Linked DNA regions of Rhinolophus ferrumequinum. Each later gene encodes a partner of the first gene's protein in a complex. Links are inferred from orthologs where the notes say so. Each region holds a gene or a part of one and is shown in the gene's direction. Other genes may lie near its edges.

Region 1 (7,924 bases):
CACTTAACAACTTTGAATATATATTGTGTCATAACCTCCAATATATAACATGCACATTACTTGAAATGAATTTGTATCAGGAATATCAATTTTCCTATAAAGTTGATTTAGGTGGAATTAATACATGTTTCCATCTGGGTTTTGAACAAAAATGTTGCATCCCCAGCTTTCATGATATCGTAGCAATGGCCAATTTTCATTGATGAACCCATTTGAGGCAAGATTTTTAAGCACAGGGCCAAGGAATGTTTTAGAGAGGGAGCCAACTTTGGTGGCTACCATCTGGCTAAGGAAAAAAAGAAAAGAGGCAGACTGCCAAGCGGTCAACATGTGGCCTTTTTGTCAATCATTCAACAAATGTTTCTGAAGCATCTATTACCTCTCAGACACTATTCTAGGTGCTGGATTTAGAAATGAACCAAACAGACAAAAAGCCCTTATGGAGTTTTATATGAGAAATGATCAAAGGGAGGAGAGATGAGTATAATGGTTTAAACGATTATTTGATTTAGAAACTTGGAAACAAAAAAAGGGGAAAGAAATCAATGGCCTCAACAACCTGATTAAATCCAGTATCCAATCCCCATCCTGCTCACTGCCTTAGAGGTCCTACCTGGAATGCTCACAGGTACAGTATGTGCTAAATGGAGAGTACAAATTGGTCCAGGATTCACAACAATGGGAGTAAATCAGGTGACGGGAATGGTCATCATCTGGAAATATAGGCCTGGGATTGCCAGATCTTGACCAGGAACTGAAACCCCCATTTCTATGTGAATCTCTTGATGTTTAAGTTCTGATAGCTAATTCAAAATTTTCAATAGCACCATTAAGTCAAAAGCAACACTTCTTCAGGCCAAAGATCCCAATTTGCACCCTTGGTCTTAGGTGGAAGTCCAGCAAGGGCAGAGTCTTGGGGGACAGGTGGCTCCAACTTGTAATAACTTCAAGGCAAAAAGGAAACTCCTATGTTAGCTAAGTTATCCTTGATCCTTTGGATACCAGAAGGATTTGGATTATGATTTGGGGTGACCTGATAGCTCACTGTCTGATCTTAGTACATATTCATTCATTTGCTCCAATTCATTCATTCATTCACTCATTCATTAATCAAATATTAGTAAATGGCTTCGGTGGCTGAAACACTGCTCTACTCAGCTTAAACACATTCCCATTTGGCCAGCCTTTTCGGGCCTTCCAGTCTGGTGGGACTTAGATGGCATTTACACTGTGAGTACAATACTTACTGTGATAATGCTGACCTTGGATAAGCACAAAATAAGTATATCTGATTAGTCAGAGGATCGGTTGAATGCATTTCTGAGGATAATAATAGAAAGATGTCACTGAGCTACTCTACCTCATCTAGACTATCAGTTTGGTGGCTTTTCTCTTTCAGAAGAAGGTGTTCTGTTTCACACCTGATTTTTCATCTTCTACATGTTGACCCTAGAACCATTTCTTTCAACTAAGAATCACTATCTTTCTGCTGTTGTGAAAACTGTCCTCTAGGTGGTGCCATTTGCAGCTCTCTAAGCCTGCGTCGGCCTGCTTTCCACCCCAGCAAGGCCACTTGACTCCCTGGCCAGACAGCTGTGCCAGCAAGCTCTGCACAGAGCAGCTCTTTCCCAGCTGTTGTAGGGCCGGCAATGCTCCAGGCTGACTTCTAATTGGTCTTACAGGTGACCACCACCGTGTGCCTATCCATACTCTTGGGTTGCTTTGAACGGTGCCTGGGATCTCTGCTCCTTGTTTTGAACTCCTAGCAATCCGTTCTCTACAGTGTAGATTGGTAGTGAGTGCGTCTCATTTTACATTGTTGTTTATTCTTTTATGCATGTGGACTGTCTGGCCAAATAGATTATTAAGACTTTAAGGCACTGCCTGGGACTGGGAGTCTGCAAGTGTTTTTGTTGTTGATGGAGGTTGTGGTATCCTTTTCTTTATTCATCATTTACAAGGTCTATGCTCTCAAGCAGCTTGAGAGAGAGAGAGAGAGAGAGAGAGAGAGAGAGAGAGAGAGAGAGAGAGAGAGAATGAATGAGAATTACAGTGGTGTAGTGCTATGCATGCTGGGAAGCAGCTGTGCCAAGTGCCTGGGAACAGAAGGAGTGCAGGCTTATCCTTCTCCAGGAACTCCTTTTACAAGAGTGCGACCTTTCACTCTAACTCTAGGATCACTCCTAGAGACTATTCTATACCTTTGACTGTTTTTCTTTTCCAGTCCCCCAAGGACAGGGTGATATGATCATGGGGGTAGGGATCCATCTCAGAATACCATAGAAGAGGTGACAGTCTTCCCATTTTCCTCTGGTGTTCAGTGTTCAAGCTCCTAGGATTTTGTGGCTTGCTTTTCAGCTATCTAGTAATTGCCCTAGAATACTTAAAATGGTTGATCATCTTACTCTGTGTTTTGGGGTGATTTGGAATGTGATTTGTATCTACAGTGTATCGAAGCAGTTAATTCCTTTCATCAAAAAATAGGTCAATTCCGTCAAAATGGATCCTGGTAGCTTGATGACATTTTCAAAAATCTCAGAGGATTCTTGGCTAGGAAACCCAGACATTTGAAGCTTCCTGTCATTTAATTTTCTGATGTTTTGAATCTGAAACCCATATATATATATATACATATATATACATACACATATATATGCATATATATATATACACATATATATGGATGCAAACTTATAATTAAGCTTTTCCTCTGAAGCCATTTAAAAGTTCTGCATGTTGAATTTCAGTCTTTAACTTCATTAGTCACTTTATTTTAAATTTCACAGCAGGTCTAGTGGCTTTTTGTGGGCATTCACATAAATGTGAGGTTTGTCCTTTCTGCTCTCTGAGCCAAGGTGAAATCTAATCATTTTCTAGGCCAAATATCCTTTTAAAAGGGAGTCTAAAATATAGATCTTATATCGCGATGACTTCTTTGATCTAAGTTCTGAAAGAGAGAGGTGGGGGCAGTCAAGGGGTGGAGGTAAAGGCAAATGAAAGAAGGTAGTCACACATCTGTCATTCGAGAACCCTTTGTGCATTTGTGACCTGTAGCAATAAGACTGTCATGATCATATTTTACACTCTGGATCAGCAGGTTGCACCAGAGACATCTCAGAGAAAACAAAACGTGAAAAAGGGACTCCCTGTATAGAATTCAATTTACTTTCAAGACCTCAGGTTCCGTTAAGGCAGGACGCAATATGAGTTTCATCTCTTGTAGCTATTAAACTACATAAAACCTGAATGAGCAAGATTTTTTTGTGTGTGTGTAGCCATTTTTCAGTCCTATGTAACAACAAAATATGCAAACATTTTTAAGTAAACTGCCCCAATCGAGAGTGGAAAACAAAATACTGGAATAAAATTTTGCTGAGGCGATGTTGGTTTTCTCATTTTTCTATTTTACTCTTTCCTTTTCTTTCACGTTATTTTGCATTTTCCCAGTAGACATCCATAATTCAATCTCGGCCTAGAAGGGTAAATTCGATTACTTGGCTGTTAAACATCACGTGCCTTTTAAAAAACAGGAGGAGAGCTTGTAAGAAAACAAAAACAACCTCAATGGCGTGAAAACTTGGAAGATATCAGGAAGCTCTTGGTAACTTCGGCAGCTTCATTTTTCTGCTCAGGATTTACATTTCTATGTCCAGTAACTGGGGAGAGTTTCACCTTTTAATTCCCCCCCGACACACACACACCTCCGGGAACCAGTGACAATTACTTCTCTTCCTCCGTCACACTCCACTATCGAGTGTATCTGATTTTCTACTACTGAACTGGGGTCAGAGATGACAGAGATACTCTCTAACCGAATGGCGTTATAGAAATAGGAACGGGAAGGAATACAGAAGCGGCTGCAGAGGGTCGCGCCAGCAGATCTGTGCTGTCCAGGAGCGGGGGGCGCGAGCGCCGCGGCCGCCTGCGGGGAGTTGGGCAGGGTGTCCACGGTGACAGCCGGTGCAGGGGGCTCGCGGGGCCGAATCCTGAGGATTCCCCGAGGGCCGAGGCCGCGCTCCGGGGCTGGTGGGCTGAAAGGGAGACAGAGGCCGCCATATTCCTGCTTCACCACGCCCGGGCAGCCGGCGGGCAGCGGCAGGTTGGCGGCCGCCCTGGCTGAGCTGGGGAGACCCGACCCCGCCCTCCGCCGGGGGCGGCCGTGACCGCGGCGCCCGCGGGCCCCGCAGAGGGCGCGGGAGCGGAAGGCGCCCGCAGAGCTCCCAGGGCCGGCCCAGCCCGGGAGGAGCGCGGGCGAGGCGAGAGCCGCACTGGGCGGCGCGCGCGGCGGCTGCGAGCCCAGGAGAGCCTTCCAGGAGGGGCCGGGCGGCACCGCCTCCCCGCTCCCTCCTCCTGCGCCCGCTCCCTCCTCCTCCTCCTCCTCCTCCTCCTCCTCCTCCTCCTCTTCCTCCCGCCGCCGCCGCCGCCGCCGCCGCCTCCCTCCCGGATCTGTGCTCCAGTTCAGAGAAAGAAGAAAATGTGTGTGTGTGGCGAGGGGGAGGGCGAGCACTGAGCAGCCGCTCCGCGCCTGGCAATCGGGGCCGGGGGTGGGCGCCTGGCGGAGGCGGAGGCGGAGGCGGAGGCGGAGGAGCGCGCGGCAGCCGGCGGGCGGTGGGCGCGGGCAGGGCCGAGGGCGCCCGGAGCCGTGTTAAGCGGCGGCCAAGAGCGGGCGCGCCGGGCGCAGAGAGCCATCGGCGGCCGCTCGCTGCGTACGCCCCGGTGGATGTGCTCTCGCCGCCGGGCGCAGGGCTTAGGGGAGCCTCGGCGGCAGCGGTGGCCGCGCGGGGGGCGAGGCGAGCCGCCCGTGCCCGGGGAAGGAAGCCCGGGCGTCTGAGCAAGGCCGGGAGCGGCGGCCTTTCGTCGCGCGCACCCCGAACCAGCGCCCGCGGCCGCCTCCCGCCCCGCCTCGCTCCTGCGGGCGGCCCAGCCGTCTGCTCCCGCCGCACCCCCGTTCCACCTGGTGGCTCCGGCCCTGGCCGCGGCCACCGCGGCGGTTCCCCGAGCTAGTCCCGGACGCGCGCCCGGGCGGCGGGGGCTCGGCGGCCACCGCTGCCTCGGGGGAGCGAGGGCGGGAGGGTGTGTGTGCGCGCGTGTGAGCAGGGGGTGCCGGCGGGGCTGCAGCGGAGGCACTTTGGAAGAATGACTCTGGAGTCCATCATGGCGTGCTGCCTGAGCGAGGAGGCCAAGGAAGCCCGGAGGATCAACGACGAGATCGAGCGGCAGCTCCGCAGGGACAAGCGGGACGCTCGCCGGGAGCTCAAGCTGCTGCTGCTGGGTGAGTACCGCCCGGGGCCGGCCTTCGCGGGCCCTTTCCCCGGACCTCGGCGCCCCCCGCCAGCCACCCCCGAACCCCCCGGGCAGCCGCCGCCAGCGGCCCCCGCCTCAGGGCGCCCGCGGTTGTTCCCTACCCTCCCCCGGCGCGCCCCCGGCCACCACCCGCACCCTTTCGGGCGCGCGCGTACACACATACACTCGCACACACACGCAGAGGGGTCGGGCTGCCCTGCCCCCGGCCCCTGAAGGCCGTGCATTCGGGGTGCGCGTTTATTTGCCGTGCATCTCCTAAATGGCAAATAACTTGGGTGCGGGGGAAGGCATGGGAAGGTGGAAAGAGGGGTTGAACTTCCAGTGTCGTGGCCGCGGCGCCCCGTGGGTGGTGGAGTGGGGAGCTAGCTGTGTGTGTGGCCCGAGGGTGGCGAACGGAGCCAGGGCAACTAGGGGGTGGCCTGTGTGCATCCATATCAGTGCATTCTGGGGTCAGGAGGGAATGGTGGAACGGTGGTGGGCAGAGTCACAGCTGGCTTCTTCAAGGAGTGATGATGAGAGAGGCGAGTGGTTGGCCCTCCAAAGAAAGGAGGCTTATGTATTAGGGGGGCAGGGAGGCAAGCACAAATGTGTCACACAAGTGCTGTTCCCTAGCCACCAGACCAACGAAAGGACGGACCCCAGAAGAGTTTCTTGACCAGTGGATAGTGACAGGCGTGTTTCTTGTCTGCAAAATTCCTTCCAGATAAAAAGGCAAGGGATAGGGGAGCGTTGTGCTGTGTGGTTGTTGACAGCGACGGGTATCTTTTGTTTAATGAGGCAACCCAGATGTAGGCCTGAATTCACAATAGTTACTACTGAAAACCAGTGCAGCCTCTCAATTACTCTCATGGAGACAAATAGAAACCTTTTGTTTAAAACGGACAGCATTTTAATATGTTTGGAATCTGGACTGGAAGGAAAACGGGAAGTGTACAGCAAGAAATTTCCCTTTAATCTCTAAAAAAAAACCAAAAAAACTCAACGTTCTTCTCTAACACTAAGTTAGCAAGAAAATGCTGGTTCTCAATTAGGAATTCTGTTGATTATTATCTCTGAGAGATTGTTCAGAATCAGCCATCAGGGTTCGCATATACAAGCCAGGGTAACATACTCTGAGCTATTGTGGTAAGAAGAGCAAACAGCTTTGCAGTAACAGGCCTGAAAAATGCCTGCACTCGTGTTCAGGATATTTACGTGTATAATAAATATGTTTCTCAGACATTTCTGGAAGAAAAGAATATTGTATTGTCAATTCGGATTTGAGAAACGTGTTTTCTTATCTTGAGCATTCAGTCTCCTGGTTCAAGGAATCAGTTGCCTTTTGGACTGAACTGCTTATGTACCTGGATCATTTAAAGAAGGAACAAAATATAATGATCACAAATAGTTACAAATGGTTAATTCACATGCTATGCTTTATGTTTTCATTTTGAAGCAGATTAGATAAATGTGCACATGTTTATAAAGAACAGAAGGCAAAGTGCTTGATAAAAGAGGTGGGCTTTCAGAAATGAAGGCAGGGCAGGGTAAACTCTTATGGGAAAATGATCTTTTTATTTTTTTATTTTTATTCTCATTTTGAGCTGCTTTTACTGGCTGAAAATGTAGTTGAATGTTTTCTGAATTATCATGATTGAGAAGACAATAGAGAGGGCAAGAGAAATGTATAGAGTGTTTGGGTGCATGATTAAGGGGGCAAAAGCATGTGTTTTAGACTTAACGGTTTTTCTCTTTTCCCTTCCCTGTTTACAGCCTTTACATGTTTCTGTTTAGCTGTGAATTGGGTGGTGAGGGCTCTCAAGCCAACCCTATGGCTTGAAATGTGACAGCTCTGGGTTCCTAGGAGCTATGAGTTAGAGCCCAGGGGGTTCATCTGTTTGAGGGCCTAGGTTTCAATGTCTAGGAGGAGGACTTTTGGGGAAATACACATACATGGATGCTTAATTGCACACTGTGTATTTAAATAACATACTGTGCTTTAAAAAAATGAACTTGCAAGTAATTGCATGAGAAAAAAAATAAAGTAAAACAATTTTACTGCTTAAGTGTTGGCAGTGGGGAGGATTTTTTTTTTTTCTTATTAGATAGTTGAGTAGGGTTTAATACAAGCCCCACCCCGGCCCCCAAATATGGCCTCTTAGAAGTGGTAGAAAAATATGACTTTCATTTAGCACCTACATTCATTGGTAACATTTAAAAATGATACAACTTGCTGTTAGAAATGTGATGCCTAGACATCATGTAACATTTGCTACTGCTTCATGTTCTAAGTATGTTGCTTTTGTAACAAATCTACTGTAATATCTATGCTATTTATATAGTTAATGATATATGCTAAATGTAGGTTTGTGTGTATGGGCATTTCATGATTTTTTGAGTCCAGGAGATAAATGATGGTCGATGTGAATCAGGGCAGGTATTGGGAAGGGGTTCCTTTGAGTACCTCCTGACGGGCTCCTTAGATGAGTCTTCTGGTGCCTTCATTCATTTAAGTGATACCTGACCAAAGGAGGTTAAGGGATGTACCCTTTCACGGTTTAACGATTCACCAATATTTTTAAATATTTAAATTGAGGAATCACCCTTATTTTTAAATGAAATTCCAGATTAAATTCTTTTC
Region 2 (7,753 bases), on another chromosome or scaffold:
GCAAAGGAATGGTAAGGGAGTGTGCATGGCTGGAGCAGAATGAGTGAGGGGAATAGAGGAGATGAAGTCAAGGAGGGTGTGTGTGTGTGTGTGTGTGTGTGTGTGTGTGTGTGTGTGTTCATGGGGAGGGGTTCAGGATGTCTGAACCTTTGACAGACTTTGGTTTGAACTCAGAAATGGGAAGCTACTTCAGTATTTTAAGTAAGGAAGTCATCATGTTACCGGCTTTGTGGGTCTTGGGTTCCCCAAGATAGAAATTGAGAGGAAACCTCAGAAAAATTTCCAGACAGGTTTTATTAAGTTTATGCTCGAGCACAAGGGAGGTAGCACAGAGGAAAGGAAGGTCCTCCAAACTGGCTCGGGGTCGGGCTGTGCCTAGCTGTTTTTATAAGCTGGAGACAAAAAAATAAAACAAACAAAAACGGGGGCTTGTGTGAAAAGACAGGCTTTCGGAAAAAGGCAGGTTTCCTTTACCAGCTACATTGCCTGGTAACCATGGTCAGGCCTGCACTGTGGGGCAAGATGGCAGACTGCTCATTATTGCCACCCCAGGAAGGTCCGATGGTGGTCAACTGCTGTAGAGGGATCACCCTTGTGGTCAGTTTATCCAGCATTCCTTTGGCCCTGGGCCTAGTCCCTGTGCTGTCTCAATCTGATGCACATTTTCACAGGTTCACTCTGATCACTGTGTTGAGAGAAGACTGTGTAAGGCTTATGGGTAAAATGAGGGAGACAAGTTATAAGGCTATTGCAATAATCTAGGCAAAAGATAATAGTAAGTTGGACCAGGGTGGTATTTGGGATATATTTTCAAGGTGGGATTTGCTGATGAATCAGATGTGGAATATAAGAGAAGTCAAGGATGACTCCAAGACTTTTGATTTGGGCAACTGGAAGGATGGGGTTTAAGGAGATGAGCAGAGAAGACTATGAGAGGGGTGTAGTGGATCAGAAATTTAGTTTTGGATACATGCTTGATATGCTTATCGTCAGGTCCCAGTGGAGTTGTTGAGTAACTGGATGGATATGTTATTTTTAGGGAATGGAGAAATCTGGGCTCTAAATACTAATTTGGGAGTTGTCTGCACATACATTTATTTAAAAACCACAGGAGATGAGTGTACATTGAAAAGAAGTTAAAGGACAAACCCAGGGGCACTCCAGAGTATAGAATTCAAGAAGGTGAGTGAGAACCAGAAAACAACCAACTCTTCTGAACTGTCAGTGAGGTAGGAGGCGAGATCAAGGCATGTGTGATTAGTTCAGGAAGCCAACTGAACATCGTATTCAAGAAGGAGAGATCAATTGGGTCCAATTCCACAGTCAGCTTGAGCAACATGAAAACTGAGAATTGACCAAAGGACTTACCATGTGAAGGTCACTGCTAACCTTGTTCAAAGTGTTTATTCAGTGAATTGATGAGTGAACGAATGTAATGTTTCCTCCATCTATATTTGGCCAGGACCCAAGAGTGCAGGGATTATATCTTTGTTTCTCCAGGAAGAGTTGGATGAGTTTGATAAATGATTGTAGAATTGATTGAATGAAATGGCTTTTCCTTCACTGCCTGGCCTATCCCAGTTCCTACTTTATTTTCCTTAGAATGTGGAGGGTGGGAAACTGCACAAAGTTCCCAATTCCCAGATGCCAGGCTATCTGGAATTGCCGGTGGTTATTTTCCTGTACTGCTGCACAGAGCTGTACAAAATCCCAAGCCCTTCAGGTCAAAGGAGTCACCAATATCTAAAGAACAAATCTTGTAGTTTCAAAGTCACAGGAAAATATCTGCAAACTAACTCAAATGAATGTAGTTAGATAGTCAGGCTGCTGGTTTATAGTCATTCTTGAGATAATTACTCGTAACTCAACATTGTTCAAAAACGTATTTTCTTGGGAATTTTGATGATTCAGAGCACAAAATCATAAAACACCAGTGAAAATTACAGTCAAAACCAGCCAGGTCTTCATGCATTGTTCTCTGAAAAGAGGAAGATTCCCCCTGGAGGAAGTCATTCTATAGTAGCTACCATTTCCATATACCAGGAACTGCTAAAGAAGCACTTTATGGGCATTTAGAAAACGGAGTCCTCTCAACCACCCTACAGGAATGGTACTGTGATCACCCCCAGATTTTAGATGTAATAGTAATAGATTATAATGAGAAAATGGTAGAGGCTTGGAAAGACTGAGGGGACATCATAGGGCTTACCTCCCCTAATGAGGGACCCTCAGGTGTAAACCGATCCCCATCAGAACTGTCCCCTGGACAAGAAGTCCCTGGTGCTTCTTCTAGAAGTTAACTTTTCCTGGAAGAAAAGAGGGCACAGGCTGATGCATGTGGCCCTGGGAGGTAGCATCCTGAGAGCTGGGGTGCAAGTGGGGTGTGTGAAGGAGATTCCTGAGAGAAAGGAAGGAATCAAAAAGAATGTGTTGGGCTTCTATCATGCATCAAACACAGTCACAATTTATTTTATCTTCAGACACCTTTGAACTAAAAAGAATATTAACTCCGTTTTGTATGTTAAGGAACCTGAAGCTTAGAGAGGGTAAGTCTTTCTCCAACGTCACACAGATGTTGGTAAGGCGAGAAGCCAGAATTTGCCCACAGGAATACATGATTTCAAAGGCTAACCTCTTTCCACATTCCAAAAACAATTCATTTGAGATATAGCAATGAGGGATTCCTAAGGGATGGGCTACTGAAAAGCAGCCACTAAAAAGAATTGTCTTTCACAGAACAGCTTTCCCTAGCCATGCTTATCTGTGTGTGTGTGTGTGTGTGTGTGTGTGTGTGTATGTGTGTTAGGAGTCAGTCCATTCCTGTTATTCAGGGAACGAGTATTCCACTCCCATGGCATGTTAAAGGTCATTTGCTTCTCTTCCTTTTCAGTTTTTATTTCCCTCCTCTTGGGAGCTCCTCTGTCCAGGTAGAGAGAAAAGGTAGAATGCCAACTATCCACTTACAAGTCGATAACTTTGGGGAAATGTTTTATTGGGGATATGGTTAAACAACTGGCTAGCATGACATTGTATATACTTTTGTCTGCCTGCATTATCTCAAACCCACATTCGTTCTATTAATTGGCCCCACAGTGGGTTCAGTAAGAGGACACAGGGCCTATATCAGATGTAAGCTCCATCCTAGAAACTCACAGGCCTAAGATTGTGGCCATTCAGTTAATGGTTCAAAACTTAGTAGTGGTTACAGGCACTGACTCACAAACTTTGGTCTTCTAGGGAGAATCACAGACTCTGAGGGCTCAAGCTCGTCACCCGGCTATCCGGACTCGCCCAAACTGGCTGGAGCTGGGGAGGAAACGCCCTCTCCCACACGCTGGACTGATGACCTGGTCTTTTGCTGCAAGCTGGGCCGTGATGTGACCCTCCACCTCACCAGGCAGGCCTGAGGACTGGGACTGGCCGGACTTGTTAGAAATGTTTCTCCACTGAGCGAAAATCAGCCTCCCACTCTGGCTTCCACCTCTTTCTGCATTCTTGGACCTACTCAAAACACATCTAATTCTCTTCGACATGCTAATCCTTCAAATATCTGAAGACAACACTCCCGTTTCTCTTTACTGCCCCTCCACTACCCAATAGTTTAAATGGATAACAGTCAACTTTATTTTTTAAAGCAAGTAAAAAGGAAGACATTACCAATATGCTGAAGGCCCTTGTGCGCTCATCACCGATCTCACACTCGTTCTATCCCCACCCCCTCTATCTGCTTATAAATGTCTTTGGTCCCTAGGATCCCAATGTGGAAAAGACCCTAGTGGAAACATTTATGGTGCAATGATTAATAGAAGACAGTGGCACTCATAGACTAGAGTTTAAATGTGGTTGACATTTACAGCCTGTATCTATAAACTGCATAACTGTGGGCAATTTATCCAACCTTTCTAAGCCCCATCTCCTCGTTTGTAAAACGGGAATAATAATCATACTTAGTGCGCAGGTTGTTTTCAGGGTTAAACTACACAGGGCTCCTAAATCATTCGCACTTCTCACTTAAAGTAACTGTTCCAACTGTTTTCTCCCCGTCCACCTCTCAGACGAGGAAATGGGCCTAGAAGGAGGTGAAGAGGTTTGTTGGAGGTCGCAGCTAGTTAACAGCAGAGCGGAAACCTATCCTACATCCCTAACCCCTCCTATCCGTACCCCTTTCTGCTCCCCACCGCTTTCTTTGGTGTCCGCAGCCATCCATTTTGCCTCTGCAGATTAAAAACGTGTCCACTCCACTGGGAAGCCTCTACCAATTACCGAGGGTAAGTGCAGTGAGCTCGAGTCTTGCTTTTTTGCCATTTAGGTAAGGGGAGGGGCGATGGACGACACTGGCTCCTCAGTAGGAATTAAAGGTGAAAGGTAGTTGTAGGCGTCGCGCAGGCCTGGAGGAACCCTCCGTCCCAGCGTTCCTACTATTTGCATTCCAATAAGGCTACTTCACCGGCCTACCCTGCCCGCGGGCGGCTCGGGCTGGCTGGGAACTGCAGCTCGTCCACCCGGAGCCGGGAGGGCGGCGAGTGGCGGGGTAGCTCGGAGCCTGGAGGCCCCGGGCCGAGCCCGAGCGCCTGACAGCTGAAGGGGCGGGACGGGGCCGCGGGTTTGGCCCCTGGGCGTGGCCTCGCGCAGGTGCTGGAGCGGCTGGGGTTTCACTGAAACTTATCAGGCTCTGGGAAGGCGCGCGCAGCGGCTCCAGTTAGGGGCAGGTGAGAGAGTGGCTTTCTCTTCCACCCGCGAGTGGAGCTCTGAGTTTTGAATCAGTGGCGGCGAATTCCTCGCTCGCCCGGCGTCCGGGTTGTTGGAAGAATGCGAAGCCCGAGCGCGGCATGGCTGCTGGGGAGCGCCATCCTGCTGGCGGCCTCTGCCTCGGGTGACCGCACGATCCAAGGTGAGAAACGGCCGCGGAGGGCTCGTGCCGCTAAGGAGCAGGGATTCTGGGCACTGTCGGCAGGTGGGGGAAGTGGGCCAGTGCGCGCAGGGTGTTCTGCTGCCTCCGAGCACCTCCCGTACACTCCACAGTCTCCTCTCCGCCGCTTTCACGGGGGATCCCCGCGTTCAGGGAGCCACCGAATGAGACAATCCCAAGAGGCTGAAGTTCACGGAGGGAAGGGAAAGGAGTGCTCGAGTCTAAAGGCTACTTAGAGGACTCCCACGGGTTGGCTTCTTTGCAAACACTAGGTCATTAAGGAGCTTTTCGCACACCCTGGCGACTTCCTCCGGGCTGGTCCCAGGGGACCCCTGGAGTTATGAGTTGATGGATCGGAGCGGGGTTGAGTGGGTGGGAGCCCCGCGGCCAAGAACCTCGCTTCTTGCAACCCCTTTAGCCTTTGGAGCTCCCTCTTTGGGAACGGCCCACGGGGTTAAAGACCCACCGGCCCGCAGCTCCCCTGGCACCATGCACCGCTCGGTATGGAAGTCAGGGCCGGCCCCCGCCGGGTTCTCGCGGTAACCGGCGCTTTGCTTCAAGTTTTAGGCCAGTTGGGCATCACGCAGATTTATGGAAGTTCTTGAACTCTGCCTTATATTCGACCAGGTGATCTTAGGGCCCTGAGTTCCCGCACCCTTCTCTGTCACCCGGAGCGTGCACTGGCTGCCACTGAGATCGGAGGCTGCCAGTCCCGGGGACTGAACAGCGCGAGAGCCAACTGGGTGGTGATCAGGTGCCTAATTGTTCGCGGCTGCGGGTGACTGCCCTGCGAGTGCTCCAAGTTGTTCTGCTGGGGGTGGAATCTCCCTGGCGGAGCAGGCGTCTGAGGGCGTGGGGAATCCTTGGCCTGAGATCGCGCTGCTGTGATGCTAACAGACGCCCCACAGTTTGGGGCAGGCAGGGTTGTCTTCAAAGGGAAGTTTTTCTTTCCCTGCGAAATTTGCCGACCTGCTGTAAAGGGTCAGTTTCTCATTTTTATTCTTTTCATGAAGATATTGTAAAAGAGCATTTGAATTTGCTCTTAAAAGAGCATGTGAATTTGAATTAGATTGAAGAATGTAATTCTTTTCCCTCTGGAGTTACAGAAAAGGGGATTATGGTGTATACTTGAGAACTGCACCACTGACTACATTTTATTGTCAGCATTTATTTATTTCCGGGAGGTATTGAAAATGATTAATACTTCTCCATTTACCTTTCAGCTCCAAGTCAAGTACGGTAGTTGTTTCATTCTAGTTGTGGAGGGTGCAGCTCACGGTGGCCCATGTGGAGATCGAACCCGCAACCCTGGCATTCGGAGCATCGTGCTCTAATCAACTGAGCTAATAGGTCGCCCCTACCTTTGTCTTTTAAAGTTAGAAAGTTAAAATTGAGGAGCAAAACTTAGAATGTGCAAATACGTTTGAAAAATATGTGGGTGTAGGTGAGTCAGTGCTTTTATGATTCAGACAGTTCCTATAGGAAGTTCGTCCTGAGTATGGGCTTGTTCTTGTTTACAAAGCGACTGGGCTGGGGCTGGAGGATTCCTCCAGTATAAGGTGAACTTAATTTAACAACAGCAAAATCAAGTTACTTGTTAACCAGAACTATTTAATATTGCATTTGGGTTGTTTTGTTTTGTTCCATCTTCATACTTTGATTCCCTTGTAGGGTAAGGTTCCTGAAGTGTTACTTAAGTAACAGACTTTAGGTAGATGGAGCTTTCCTCCCAACTTGAAACTAAATTAATTTTGATAAAGAAATAGAGCATCGCCAGAGTTTTTTTGCTTCTCAGCCCACGTCTTTGCTCATCCCCTTTTAGCTTGACCTTTACCCACGCTCCTCAATTTGCTACAGGACAGATAACAGCTTTGATTTTCTTCCCAAAGGCCTTACCCTGAAAGACTGCCTCATGAAAGGGAACTCAACCTAGAGAACAACCTTCTCGTTTTACATAGGCAGCCCACGGAATTTGTGGGGGGCAAGGAAAAACATTCCATCAGACTCTGCTTTCTTTCCTATTTGTCACAACAGTAATTGATAATGACTTTTGTAAATAAGTTTAATCTGTCTCCCCACTGGATCCTAAACTCTTGGAGGCCAGGGACCCTTGCGTCATCTCCATTGCCATGGTCCAGCACGCTCATTATTTAAAGGACTTCAGTAAATAGCAAATGAAGAGTGAAATGAGGGGACTTGCCCAGAGAGACCTGGCAGGTTGATGGCAGTTGGGCATTTAAATCAGCTTTTTTCAGGCACTGATTTCTTTCTACCACATTGTAAGCTTGGGAAGGCCCCTGTGATGCAGTCATTCCTTTTTTTTTCTTTTGGAGACTGAAACTTCTGTTCTCTTTGTAATTGGTTTTTAGTGATACAAGTAATATGTGATTGCTACAGAGGAAAAATGAGAAAAAAAGGAAAAGTTTAATTAAGTCACCCTCAGTACCCAAGAAACCATGCTCACATTTTGGTTTATATCCTTTTCCATGCTTTCATGCATCCATGCATAAAATATGTATTCACAAATATAGAAAGTCTTTATATGCAAGTATGGGATTAAATAAACCATTAGCATGTCAGTAACTATAAAACATTTTTAATGACTCTAAAACATGTTGTAGGAGAATGTGTCATAATTTTTAAATTGGTCCTGTTGATAGACAACATGGGGTATTTCCACTGTCTCATAATAAGAGAGAATACTATAATGAGCATGAAGATGGGATTTTGAATTTGTGGTTTTGGTTCCTTTGCTTGCCTTGTAGTTACTAATTAACCTTGATAGGCGATGTTTTAGTGAAGTCTGTGTTTGACTTTCTTATGGTTTTATTAGCAAGACAAGTG

The links. The genes of interacting proteins can lie anywhere in the genome.
Region 2: the proteins of guanine nucleotide-binding protein G(q) subunit alpha (region 1) and F2RL1 are in contact, whole or in part, in a cryo-EM structure (PDB 9D0A), measured with the Homo sapiens proteins. The link is inferred for Rhinolophus ferrumequinum from reciprocal best matches to the Homo sapiens genes GNAQ and F2RL1. Residues at the interface, in NP_002063.2 of Homo sapiens: Arg37, Ile323, Tyr325, Asp346, Ile348, Leu349, Gln350, Asn352, Leu353, Glu355, Tyr356, Asn357, Leu358, Val359; in NP_005233.4 of Homo sapiens: His108, Pro109, Ala110, Met114, Gln172, Arg173, Val176, Ile177, Pro180, Met181, Gly182, His183, Ser184, Arg185, Met265, Met268, Leu269, Met274, Asp275, Asn277, Lys280, Lys281, Arg284, Ala285, Leu288, Ile289, Tyr344, Tyr345, Val347, Ser348.

Annotation. Positions count from the first base shown.
Region 1 is NC_046295.1:42,698,462-42,706,385, reverse strand, and holds the start of guanine nucleotide-binding protein G(q) subunit alpha, read left to right. Parts: upstream 1-4,914; 5' UTR 4,915-5,136; coding exon 5,137-5,272; intron 5,273-7,924.
Region 2 is NC_046290.1:49,084,962-49,092,714, forward strand, and holds the start of F2RL1 (proteinase-activated receptor 2), read left to right. Parts: upstream 1-4,739; 5' UTR 4,740-4,809; coding exon 4,810-4,891; intron 4,892-7,753. UniProt on the Homo sapiens protein: Receptor for trypsin and trypsin-like enzymes coupled to G proteins.